Danio rerio: one gene and its partner. The protein of the gene in region 2 interacts with the protein of the main gene of each other region in a pairwise test. Links are inferred from orthologs where the notes say so. Each region holds a gene or a part of one and is shown on either strand. Other genes may lie near its edges.

The links.
Region 1: the proteins of usp47 (region 2) and ap4m1 interact in binary tests that used the Homo sapiens proteins (3 or more experiments, as listed by UniProt). The two-hybrid records come from large-scale screens. The link is inferred for Danio rerio from reciprocal best matches to the Homo sapiens genes USP47 and AP4M1.

Annotation. Positions count from the first base shown.
Region 1 is NC_133185.1:27,749,751-27,756,589, reverse strand, and holds the start of ap4m1 (AP-4 complex subunit mu-1), read right to left. Parts: upstream 4,714-6,839; 5' UTR 4,477-4,713; coding exon 4,419-4,476; intron 4,247-4,418; coding exon 4,161-4,246; intron 4,067-4,160; coding exon 3,960-4,066; intron 3,863-3,959; coding exon 3,766-3,862; intron 3,660-3,765; coding exon 3,549-3,659; intron 3,354-3,548; coding exon 3,273-3,353; intron 1,729-3,272; coding exon 1,666-1,728; intron 1,586-1,665; coding exon 1,519-1,585; intron 1,344-1,518; coding exon 1,290-1,343; intron 1,196-1,289; coding exon 1,089-1,195; intron 1,008-1,088; coding exon 916-1,007; intron 1-915. Other genes in the region: and3 (actinodin3 precursor), read left to right, coding at 4,896-4,916. UniProt on the Homo sapiens protein: Component of the adaptor protein complex 4 (AP-4). Adaptor protein complexes are vesicle coat components involved both in vesicle formation and cargo selection. They control the vesicular transport of proteins in different trafficking pathways.
Region 2 is NC_133182.1:70,815,327-70,822,163, reverse strand, and holds the start of usp47 (ubiquitin carboxyl-terminal hydrolase 47), read right to left. Parts: upstream 4,280-6,837; 5' UTR 4,081-4,279; coding exon 4,036-4,080; intron 1-4,035. UniProt on the Homo sapiens protein: Ubiquitin-specific protease that specifically deubiquitinates monoubiquitinated DNA polymerase beta (POLB), stabilizing POLB thereby playing a role in base-excision repair (BER). Acts as a regulator of cell growth and genome integrity.

The sequences.
Region 1 (6,839 bases), on a different chromosome or scaffold from region 2:
TTTGGGAAGAGGTGAGAATTATAAGTGGAAAAAAAACTATAGTAGAAGCGAACAAATATTTATAGACCTCAGCTTGCTTTATGCCAAAAGATGTGTAGCTTTGCTATGGACAAAGATGCAAAGACCAAACGCTACTCAATGGATAAAACAAATGTTGTCAAGTCTGCCATTAGAAAAAATAACTTAATATACTAAAAGCTAAACAACGTGTATTTGAAAACATATGGAGTCCTTTCATTTGTTATATCAAAGAAGTGGAATTAACAGAGGAAGAAGTTGATGAATACTATTTGATGGATAATGCAGTTCCAGCTTTATAGTTCTGCATTGATACATTACTTAATATATATTTGCTTTGCCTAGTACTTAGTATGATTATAATTGTCATGTTTGAATAGATTACCATAATTGAAAAAAAAAAAAAGAGGAGCAGTTTTTTTATTTTATTTATTTATTTTTGTTGTTGTTTGCTTTTAGTTTTTATTATATATATAACAGGTTATATATATTAACTGAATTTATGAACAGGTGGCTCAGTGGTTAGCACTGTCATCTCACAGCAAGAAGGTTGCTGGTTCGAGTCATGGCTGGTAAGTTGGCATTTCTGTGTAGAAGTTGCATATTCTCCCTGTGTTCGCATAGGTTACAATACTAAGATAATGTATAAATTGGTTCGTTTAATTCAAACTATATTCAGAACATGCAAACTCCACACAGAAATGCCAACTGACCCAGCCAAGGTTCTAACCAGTGACCTTCTTGCTATTGTGTTTTAACTTTGAGGCTTTAAAACATCACAACTCTTTACATGCTTTTTAAAGAAACAAGTAATTAAAACCTACCTGTATTTAAAATGAAGTTCACAAGTATGCATTAAATAAAAACGAACAACATTTCATTAATCAGTTTACCCACCTGTTCACATAATCCTTCTCTACAGAGGGGAATAACTGAAATGGTGGTGCACACGGCAGCTCATCACACAGCTGATACTGCATTATTGTTTGCTAAAGAAGAATAAAAAAAATCACAAACGGTCCATGCGGGAATTATTCTAAAGAACATTAGTCTGTGTTTCAAAAATGTACCTCTCCTTGGCTTGGACAGACTTTTAATATTCGGAAAGTATCAAATTCATCCAGTTTTACTGCCTGATGAAATCTGCACTCATCCACACGTACAGCTGAACTATAGCCTAAAGAAACAGATTTAAACAGTTGTAATTAAAGATACACAGCCTCTAGAGATGTGTATGCAAATATTATATTGACCAGTTTTGCATATTCAACCTTTCAGCTGCGACTTTCCAATATTGAGCTCTTCATTCAGTCCAATCCGCATCTCTACAAGAGTGATACACAATCATAGAAGTGAAGATCCGTTTACAATCTGCATTGGCATGGACCGCAATATGAAATCTAGACTTTACTAGAACTTCTATGTCAAGCGGCTTTAACAAAATCTACATTGTAAAATCGCTATATATATTAACTTGAATTGAATCTGTAGCAAACTCACCTGAACAGGTTGGAAGAAAGCATTTTATCCTAATCTCTCCCTGAATATCTGATTTCATTAAAACTCCCTGAAAAGAAGAAAAACGTGTGAAAAATCTAAATGATCAGTAGTTTAATGTCAAGCCATGATTCATTGAGCTTTACTTACATTGGAGCCAATAACCACAGACAGCCTCTCTATCACATCCACAAAGATCTCATTCTTTCCCCCCTGCAGCCAGAAAGACAAACGTAGGTACATTTTTATGCTATGCTAATATTGATTAGCATGTTGTTATTGTTTTAAATGGCAAAAACGTGAATTAGTATTTTGTAATACTGTGCTAACATTCATTAACATGCTAGAAAGCATGACTAGCATGTATTAGTATGGCGCTAACATGAATTAGCATGTTTACACTGTACTAGCTTTAACTGATATGTTGCTAGCAGGTTTCCAACACATGGCTAACATGTTTTAACATGGAGCTAGCATGAATTTTTTAACAAGTTTAACATGGTGATGATAGCACACATTAGTATGTTTTTACACTACATTAGTACTAATTTATGTTAATGGAATGTTTCCATCATGTTTAACACATGGCCAACATTTTAACATGGAGCTAGCATGCATTAGTATGTTTTTACACTATACCCGCATTAATTAATATGTTGTTAGAATGTTTACAACATGTATAACACATGGCTAACATGCAGCTAGCATGAATTTGTATGTTTTACACTATACCCCCATTAGTTAATATGTTGTTAGCATGTTTCCAGCATGTTTAACACATGGCTAACATGTTTTAACAAGGTGCTATTATGAATTAGTATGTTTTACACTGTGCTAGCATTGCTTAATATGTTGCTTTTGTTTCCACACTATTTAATACATGGCTAACATATTTTAACATGCTGCCCCTGCTAAAAAATCCAGCTTAAACCAGCCTAGACTGGTTGGCAGGTTTTAGCTGGTTGACCAGCCTGGTTTTAGAGGGGTTTTGGCAATTTCCAAGCTGATTTACAGCCATTTCCAGTCTGGTCTTAGTTGGTCAGGCTGGAAAATGACCAACCAATCCAGCTAAAACCAGCTTGACCAGCCTGGTTTAAGCTGGACGTAGCTGTTTTTTTCTGGACTCCCAGTTTAGATTGGCTGGTCAAGCTGGTTTTAGCTGGTCATCTCCCAGCCTGACCAGCTAAGACCAGGCTGTAAATGGATGGAAACCAGCCTGGAAGTGGCCAAAACCCCTCTATAAAACCAGGCTGGTCAGACCAGCTAAAACTAGCCAACCATTTTTCAAATCACAAAAATGTGAATTAGCATTTTGTAATACTGTGCTACCAACTTTCATTAAAATTAAAATGTTGTTAGAACGTTTACAGCATGTTTAACACATGTTTGACATGTTTTAACATGGTGCTAGCATAAATTGGTATGTTTTTACACTATACTAGCATTACTTAATAAACTAACAGAAAGTTTCCAGCATGTTTAACACATGAATTATGTGTTTAAATATGGTACTATCATGGATTAGTGTGCTGATACTACCATGTTTCCAGACTATTTATATGGCTAATGTATTTTAACATGCTGCGACTATGAATTAGTCTTATTAACACTATTTGACCTACCTATGTTTTGACACAAAATAACATCCTGCATGCATATTTATATCATATTTTAGAACAGTCGTGTTTATGATTCATAATAATATTTTATGATCATCACAGATTAGATGTAAAACTGAAGAAACTAGGAAAACTCACCTGCTCTCCTCGACTGGACATTATAGGACGACTGGCTGCAACACTTGGAGCCACTTTACTCTGCTGTGTCTCAGCCCCAAACTACAAAATAAGAAAAAAAGTTAATATTTGTACTTTTCAAGATAAAAAAAACAAACAATAGTGTTTTATGTTTTTTTTTATTAGTCAGTTCTTAAAAGCAAATTACTTTCAAGATTTACCTGAATCGCATTACACAGTTTTTTGAAATATTGAGTAAACAGACGCAAAATATTCAAAAGAAATGCAACAATTTACCAATCCAACATTACTGAGGTCAAAGAGACTGAAGGGTTTGGATGAAACAGCTTCTGTCTGGATGAAGTTTTTCAGTATGTCAGTTGAGGTTGTCTGTACGTAGCCAAAATCCTGTTGATCAGAAACACAGAGGAAATTATACATAGAATTGGGTTGCTTCTAAGTCTAATTCATTTGGTCTGAGAAAAATAAATATGCAAACAGAGAGAACATTTACCACCATCTCATCCAGCAGCTCATAAATTAGTGCGAAATTCATCCTCACTGATTTTTCTGACAAACTGCCACAGTAGTCCTTTGTAAGAGCTGCTAATCTGGGAGACACAAAACAGTCACTTATCATCATGCAATCTGCACACCTAAAGAAAATCATATTATCACATTACTGATCCAAAAATTATATTTGTTAACCTGTTAAGGAACTCAATTATGGTGAAAGGGGAAGGGTTTGTTTTGGTTGATGCCACCCAGTACAGTCCACCCTGCCTTACATGGATAAAATGAAGATCTTTGTGTGTCTACAGCAAGATAAACAGTCAGTGTTAGTTCATGTAATACACTAAACAATCACAATGTTGTTGTGTATATCAAAAAAACATAACTGTAGCCTACCATGACAACAGGAGGCTGATCTCCACTGAGAGCTGTGACCATCTCATAGAAGACATTTATTGAGTCTTTACTGGCCTCTCCTCGGACTGATATGCAGAATTAAGAAAATCATAAGCAGGAAGCATACATTTAATGTCATATGACCACTGATCTAATAGAGATAGCTCTGATTACATGAAGATCCGTGCATATAAACACAAGATTCGATATCAGACAGTTATAAACACATCACATCACACAAGCCCGTGGGAAGGATACAGTCTTTATATATGAGATGATCTCCTTTTGATGACAAGATGAAAATTTGACTGATCATTTTCTCCAGCACACGGGATTACCTTTATTAAAAGGATGTTTGTTAAAAATCACCCCGCTCTTCTTCTGCCGTCACTTACATTCAGAAATATGTCTAAACAAATGTCCTCATTCATTCATTTCTTCAACAAGTTTCCTCATTCACTGTTATTTGAATTCTTAAAGGGACAAAATAAACCCGTTTAGGTCTCAAATAGTGCAGGACTATGCCGTCATGACTGTAAACAGCCGGGTTTTTCTTCTTCGTGAGGTCATACGTGAGTTAACAGTACCGCTTACTGCCATCTATTGAGCTGGAATAAGAGCTGCTTCTTGGCATCATGAACATGAGCGAAGCAAACTTGTATCTTTATTACTCTGCATTTATGTACGTTTTTATTCAAGAGAGGAAGTAACAGGATGGCAGACGGCGCGAAATAGATGGATGAAGCCGTTTGTGAGGTAAAAACATGTCGAACACGCTGGTATCTTAAACGACTTAACGTACGAAAATAAACCACCCAAGCGAAAACGACGGTTATCGTAGTTAAACCATGTTAAACACAAGTTTTGCTGGACTAAAATACCATATTTGCAGCTGTGTTATAAATAAACAATACACCAAAACATGGTTAACTTCTACTGTAATAAAACCATGGTAATTTTTCGTATGAGACGTGTTTCTCGGTAACGTTTTTTTGTAGGAAACACACTTTAGATCTTTTTAGGGTAAGAGTTTTTTGAGTTATTGCCGATTATCACCGAATCTGTCAGGAATATCGAAAACAAAACCAACTTAACCGCGGTGTTAAATTAAACGTCTTAAAGTCGTGGCCAGTCTATTGAAATAGGTGGCTCTTTTTTTTCAAAAAAGTAGACCTTTTTGCAGTAAATCACCTAATTTTCCATTCAGTCATGGGGTATGGATGTGACATTTTCAGTATAAACATAAAACATAAATACGTAGGGAATGTCCAAGATCAATGAACATTATGCAGTTAGATCTACCTTTTACTCCTTTGATTTTCTTGCTTGATGTAAGACCCCAGGATATATACTATAAAAACCAGAGATATTTACTACATATATTTTTACCAACTGCAAGAAAGACTATGACAATAAATTGGATGAAGCCACATCCTCCAACAATAGCACAGTGGACAGAAAATCTTAAATCCATATATAGAATGGAATATATGACTGCCTAACTTAAATTGAACTAAATGTTTTAAATTGAACTAAATGTTTTAAATTGAACTAAAAGTTTTCTTCTGTAAAATGTTTTAATCTATATGAAAAAGTAAAAGTAAAAAAAAAAAAATACAGGTCCATTAGCCACTCTATTGAAAAAGGTGGTTCTTTTCTCTAAAAAAAGTGAACAATTTTGCAGTTAATCACCTCATTTTCTATTCAGTTGTAAGGTTTACATAATGTTACATTTTAGTGACAGATTAGCTTGTCAGATCCTAACCACAGTTTTTGATCTACCAAAAATAGTTCCTAAGCAATTCCAGCGTTATGTATGTGACATTATCAGTAAAAAAACATAAATACACAGATAAACTGTATGTGAACATTATATTGAAACATCTGTTTTTATTTTTCAAAGAACTAACCACAGATTTATGGGATCAGAAAAAATATCAGTCTGTAAACGTTTTTTGTATTTTAAATAGGGAAAATAAACATGCGTTATGGATGTGACCAAAAACTTTACAGAATACAACATACATTTTAGTGAACTAATAACCTACTAATTCTGTGAATTAAACTGCACAACCTAAAATAAATAAAGCTAATTAAAACCATGGGTTGGCTTGATAGAAGACAAATGATTGATTTTATTTAACTTTACATATTTTGGATTTATGAGGAATAAGCTTTTTTTTTTCTTTATGGATCCGATGCTTCTCCATTATGGATGTAACAGGTGTGATATTGCCACTTGTGTGACTTTGGCCAATTAAATATTGTTTGAAAGCATTGACAGAAACATTTTGAGTATTTTTACACTAATGTTAAATACAAGCCTACACAAAAAAAAATCTAGAAAGTGTTTCGCTATTGTGGTGAAAATGTTTTTTTTTTTCTTGACATGATTGACATTTGCATGGAATTGCTCTCCTACAATTTTATTAAAGTGCCTACCATACTATTTTACTACAAAGTATTTATTTGCAACTGTGCATTTAAACCAAGTACAGTTACAGTTTTATAAATAGTGTTATGAGATTAAAATTTTAAATGAAACATTTGATAATGAAATATGAAAAAATACTTTCTTAAAGTATAACATTATTACCATTCATTATTTAAAAATATTAGGAATCTGATAAAACTTGTTTTAAGTTAAAAAACTGTTGCCTGTAGGCAGATGACAAACTG
Region 2 (6,837 bases):
TTTGTCATCTTATAAAAGCACTCGATCCGCGTTACCACAGTCTCGCATTTTTTCAGCACCGAGATAACTAAGATGGTTTATTTATGTTTATTTAAGTACAAATATGTTTATTTGAAATGGCCAATTTATCTTTATTAACTTCACATGTATGTTTATTTTCAAAATGTAGGATTTTGTATGTTCCCCTGTTTGTACATGGGCTACCAGCAGCAGTAAGATTTCAGTGTTAATTTTTTTTATATATACAATACACTAGGAACTAGTGTACTTTTCTTGGCTTTTAAGTTAAACAAAATAAGTATTGCAATAAATCGTGTTTATTTTTTTCTCTCCTTAACCTCTTACTGTTCCTATTGCCTACAGAATAAATAAAAAAACATGTGTCAAGCCATGAGAACCGAACCAAACACCATGTTAAAAAACCAAGGTATATATTGAACCGTGGGCTAACTGTAATGTTTCATCCCTAATAAATACATTTACACAACATTATAAATATTTACATATAATTACTGAAGGCAAAAGCAAAGGCAACATGATTCAACAAACTAACATTACACTATTTGTGCAAGCACTGCTGTTTTGTTTTTAACCACTTTTTAAGAACACTACTAAACATATTTATATTACTTTCTGATTTTAGGCTAAAAGGTAAATCATTCCACTGTTTGGCTCCCTTTACAGAGAAGACAGATTGACCAAAGGAGGTCTTACACCTTGGCACTAGACAGTTACCATTAGCAGTCCCGCAGAACAACTTGTAAGATCAAATGGGGTCAAAAACAATCATTTATTTCAGGCTAAATTCAAAATGACTTTTTATATTGTCGCCCATTTGAACGGATTAATCCCATTCTAAATTTAGTCTGAACCCCTGACGCTCACCGGTGAACTCACAGCACCAACAGTGACAACATAAACAGCCCTTGATAAAATAAAAAACACTGATAAAGAATTAAGTTCATACTACAAGGATGTTTATGTTATAACAATGTACTAAAAAACAAGATTTTACATTGTGGTTTTAAAAGGTTTTGCATTTAAATCACTGTAGCTATGTTTCCATCCACCTATTTTATGTACATTTTGGAATATTATGTAAAGTTTTGATTTTAAAGAGGTAGTTCAAATTTATTAAGAAATAAATTAGCTCATGAATGTTTGAAACCACTTGAGGGTGAGTAAATAGTGAGCAAGTTTTCATTTTTTGGATGAACTATCACTCTAACGACCCGTTTCCACTGAGTGTTACGGTACGGGTCACCTTTATCAGGCATGTGTTTCTACTATCAAAAGGGTACCGATGGTAAGCACTTCAAGAATCAAGCGTACGTTTTTATCATCATCTGCTGAATAAGTTAGTTATTTCAAATATAGACGCACAACTGAGCTCCCTGGAGAAAGTGAAACCACTCGCGCTATTAGTCGGCCTCGTAAAACAACAACAAGGCACAGCAGGTTTCGTTCTTCTTGGTTTTGTGGATGTTCATCAAGACGACGACGAGGTTTGTTTAAGCTTTGGTCGACCATGGCTCGTTATTATATGTATATGTTATTACAATGTAATGTCTCGGCTGTCTATTTAAAAATGGTCACTTCCTTTGTTTTTATTCTCCTGGCTTGTCATTCTCTCCGAACCGTGAGACCAGTGTAGGTTCACACCTCTATTGTTTATTATATGTGTATAATAAATTACATAAAAATATATTTATATTTCACTCCCCTGCAAAATCATCCCAGTCAATCTAAAGTAGTGACTTTGAGAAAATGTATTTGTATCACAAAATATATAATCGCAGAGAAAAAAAAAATATTGCCAAATTGTCATGACTAATTTTTCCAATATTGTGCAGCCCTACTGCCTACTGTAGCCAATTTTAATATTTATTTTTGATATTTGGCAACAAATTTATCATGAAGACACAATTTTATTGTCATTGCCTACATGGATGGAAACAGTTCTTTACTTTCAAATATTTTCTGCCATATTCCAGTTTTGTGTCTAATTCACACCTTTGGATGGAAACTGTTCTCAAAATTTCACACACACACACACACACACACTCCAGTGTTACTCCAGTCTTCAGAGTCGCATGATCCTTAAGAAATCACTCTAATAATAATTGTTGTTGTTGTTGTTTTTATGATTATTATTTTTATTATTATTATTATTATTATTATATATTGTATTATTATTATTATTATTATTATTATTATTATTATTATTATTATTATTATTATTATTAATAATAATAATAATGGTAATAGTAATAAAAACAATAATGTAAGGACTAATAATATCATTTAAAAGTACATACAATAAGTAACATCTAAATATTTTTAAATAAATATTTAACAGTTTCTTTTTACATTTAACGAATGCCACCTTGATAAACAAAATAATTTTCATAAAAAAAACATGAAAGAAAAAGACCCCAAACTTTGACCAGTAGTGTATGCGCAACAGAAAGATCTAAAAATGTTGTATTGTGCACTTCATGTATGAAGCTGTGTAAATGTCATAGCATGTATGTCTGCATACATATGGTCTTATTATTGTTTTGATTATGAATATACAGTTGAAGTCAGAATTATTAGCCCCAATGAATTATTAGCCCCCCGTTTATATTTTCCCCCAATTTCAGTTTAACGGAGAGATTTCTTCAACACATTTCTAAACATAATAGTTTAATAACTCATTTCTAATAACTGATTTATTTTATCTTTCCCATGAACACAGTAAATAATAATTGACTAGATATTTTTCAAGACACTTCTATACAACTTAAAGTGACATTTAAAGGTTTAACAAAGTTAATTAGGTTAACTAGGCAGGTTAGGGTAATTAGGCAAGTTATTGTATAATGATCTTTTGTTCTGTAGACCATTAAGAAAATATAACTTAACGGGGCTAATAATTTTGAACTGCTTTTATTCTAGCTGAAATAAAACAAATAAAACTTTCTCTAGAAGAAAAAAAATTATCAGACATACTGTGAAAATTTCCTTGCTCTGTTAAACATTATTTGAAAAATGTTTAAAAAAGAAAAATAAATTAAAAGGGGTTAGCTCTGTATAATAAGTCTGACTTCAACTATACGACTGCGTGTGTGTATATACATTACACCTATTTGTTGTTTTAAATCAGCCAATCAAACAACCAGTTGCTACAATGTTTTGTTGTTGTTTTTTGCATGAATACAAATGTTACCGTCATTAAGAATTTTTAAAAGATCTTGCTTTATTGATTTACACTTTACCACATATAACATGTTTTACAGCATTCAAAAATGAAATCACCATTAGCATAAAGACCAAAAAGAGTACGCATCTCGAAAATTGAGAGTTCAAATGTCACTAAAAATATTATTTTGTTATGCAAGTGTTGATGAGGAAGATAAACTCTATTCCCGTCAGATCTAAAACACATCCGCGTTAAAAAAGAATGTGCATTGAAACTGAAACTGTACAAGATTTTTTGTTTGTTTGTTTTGGTCATTTATAATAACAATAGTAACAAAAAACACATTCGGCCGATGTTGACATCATTCAAATATCAAAGCAGGGGTCATCATTCCTCAAATAAAGCATACGAGTCTAATCTGAATTATGTCTGTGATGTAAATGATGCGATGTGGATTAAATCAAGCAGTCTAATCTGAGCTGCTAACATAAACTATGGCGCACACTTTAGCACCTCCCAAAACTCACTCCTGCAGGACACTTTGCGGGCTGAGGAGAGAGTAAACAGCATCACAGCACACATGACAACATGTTATTAGGTCTACTAATTCCATAAATCTCCGGTATATATTGGTTATGAACGTATTCAATCTGTTGTAAGGACTTGTTGACTGATAGTTAGCTGAGCTACAGCTAACACTCTGCTAGCCGCTCAACTCACAATCCTGACACGCACTTTTCAGTCTCTCCTCCGCTGCGTTTAAACGCGATTCTCTAGCTTACATTGCGATTTTTTTAATAGGGAGATGGTGTGATTTGAGTGTGTGTTATTTGAGGTCGATCATCTCTTACCTCTTTGGGCACAAGCTGCTTTTCTTCGCTGGGCACCATTTCCATCTGATCATCCAGCCGCGGTCCGCTGTCAACAACAGGAGCCCTGCGATTGGCTTTGGGACAGCATTCTGAGCGTGTTAGGAGAAACGAGTCGATGTCGGGGAGACTACTTTTAGGCTAAATGGCTCGTAATCCAGCTTAATCTGCGTTACTTTCTTTCTTGCTGGACTGTAAGCAAAAACAGCAATCAATGGAGGAAAAATGGCCGCCACGCACTTTCGCGAGACTTCACTTCAATCTGCGTCACTTCCGACAACATTCGCTGTCTGTGGACGTTATAAAACAGCTGAAAGTGTAAACTGACAGTTAACAAACTGAATAATATTGTGATGTAATGCGAGACTTAGCGTGATAGTTGTGAAACACTAAACTTAATCTGAGGTCACACTTTAGCCTGTCGAATAAATGTCTTCATTATAAGTGAACTTTGCCTCCTTCGTGAGTGCTGCTTGCTTTCATTGTGTTCACTTCTTTCACAACACTCAAAGTGAAATGAAGAATATAACTATTTTTCAAAAATGCTCAGCCTAATCAGATTCCAAAAATCAAGTAAGCTACTAATTAGCGTAAACAACTTTTTAATGTAGGCTAACTACAGTTAGCTAGTTTTTTAGATATTACGACATCCCATCACACAAAAACATTGTAAAAATGTTGGTTTCATGTTGTTAAAAGGTTGTGATAACATTTTTTGGACACATTTGATACAACAAATTATGTTTTTTTAAACGTTATAAATTCGAACTTCACAACATTGCAAATACTTTTTTTGTGTTATAATGTCGAATTCAAATCATGAATTCACCTATTTTTTTCTCTATTTAATGTTCATTTTCTTCATAATAAATGTGTCGCATAAATACATTCTTTATTCTTCTTTGTTTTCGATTTTGTACGTTACTATTACTTGTTTTTCGTACTGTCATAAGGTGGTTTTTAGATGAAATACAGCAGTCTCTCTAGCCTTTTTCAATATATTTTTTTATTGAGCAGAGAAACCATTTATTGTCTAAATGGCTCGTAATCCAGTTTAATTTGAGTTACTTTCTTTCTTGCTGGACTGTAAGCAAAAACAGCAATCAATGGAGGAAAAATGGCCGCCACGCACTTTCGCAAGACTTCACATAAATCTGCGTCACTTCCGACAACACTCGCTGTCTGTGGACATTATAAAACAGCTGAAAGTGTAAACTAACAGTTAGCAAACTAAATAATAATGTGATGTAATGCGAGACTTAGCATAGTTGTGAAACACTAAACTTAATCTGAGGTCACACTTTAGCCTGTCGAAAAAAAATCTTCATTATAAGTGAACTTTGCCTCCTTCGTGAGTGCTGCGTGCTTTCGTGTTCACTTCTTTTTTCAACACTCAAAGTGAAATGAAGAATATAACTATTTTTCAAAAATTCTCATCCTAATCAGATTCCAAAAATCAAGTAAGCTACTAATTAGCGTAAACAACTTTTTAATGTAGGCTAACTACAGTTAGCTAGTTTTTTAGATATTACGACATCCCATCACACAAAAACGTTGTAAAAATGTTGGTTTCACGTTGTTAAAAGGTTGTGATTACATTTTTTGGACACATTTGATACAAAAAATGATGTTTTTTTAAACGTTATAAATTCATTGCAAACATTGCAAATACTTTTTTTTCGTGTTATAATGTCGAATTCAAATCATTAATTCACCTATTTTTCTCTATTTAATGTTTATATTCTTCATAATAAATGTGTCGCATAAATACATTTTTGATTCTTCTTTGTTTTCGATTTTGTACGTTACTATTGCTTGTTTTTCATACTGTCATAAGGTGGTTTTTAGATGAAATACAACAGTCTCTCTAGCCTTTTTCAATATATTTTTTTATTGAGCAGAGAAACCATTTATTTTCTAAATGGCTCATATACAGGTTTAATTTGAGTTACTTTCTTTCTTGCTGGACTGTAAGCAAAAACAATCAATGGAGGAAAAATGGCCACCACGCACTTTCGCGAGACTTTACTTCAATCTGTGTCACTTCCGACAACACTCGCTGTCTGTGGACATTATAAAACAGCTGAAAGTGTAAACTTACAGTTAACAAACTGAATAATATTGTGATGTAATGTGAGACTTAGCATGATAGTTGTGAAACTACAGTTAGCTACTTTTAGATTAGGCTTTGAATTAATTATTTGATTTTTTGTGCTTTGTCATAGGTTATATATACACAGTATTGTGCAAAAAAGACTTACGCTTGAGTGCCCCCTAGACATTAGCACAGTAATTTATTCTTAATTATTGTTAGAGACTCTTCAGGTCTTATGTATTTAGAAGCTTATGTTACACCGCCGGTCCTACGCCATCAAAACCCGCTCCAAGTTGGGATGGAACTGGCAACTCTTCGCAAAGGAGTCGGTTGCTCTAACAAGGAGGCTAAAGACAATGGCCTCAGCGTCTGTCGCTAGAGCACCTGAAGAGGTCAGAGAATTAAGTTTACCTGCACAGCACTTCACTAGCTGGCCTCCTTTACACTCACCCCCTCAACCTCACTCCCATCCGTGTCAAGGCACCAATGTAACACCACCCAACCCACTCTGAGCTGGGATTTAACCAGTGACTTTCCGCAAGGGAATCAGTTGCTCTACTAAGGAGGCTAAAGACCATGGCCTCTTGCGTCCATCACTAAAGCACCTTTAGTGGTCAGAGGAGTGAGGTTTACCAGCACAGCACTTTGCAAACTGGTATCCATTACACTTAAAAGTATAAAAATTATTT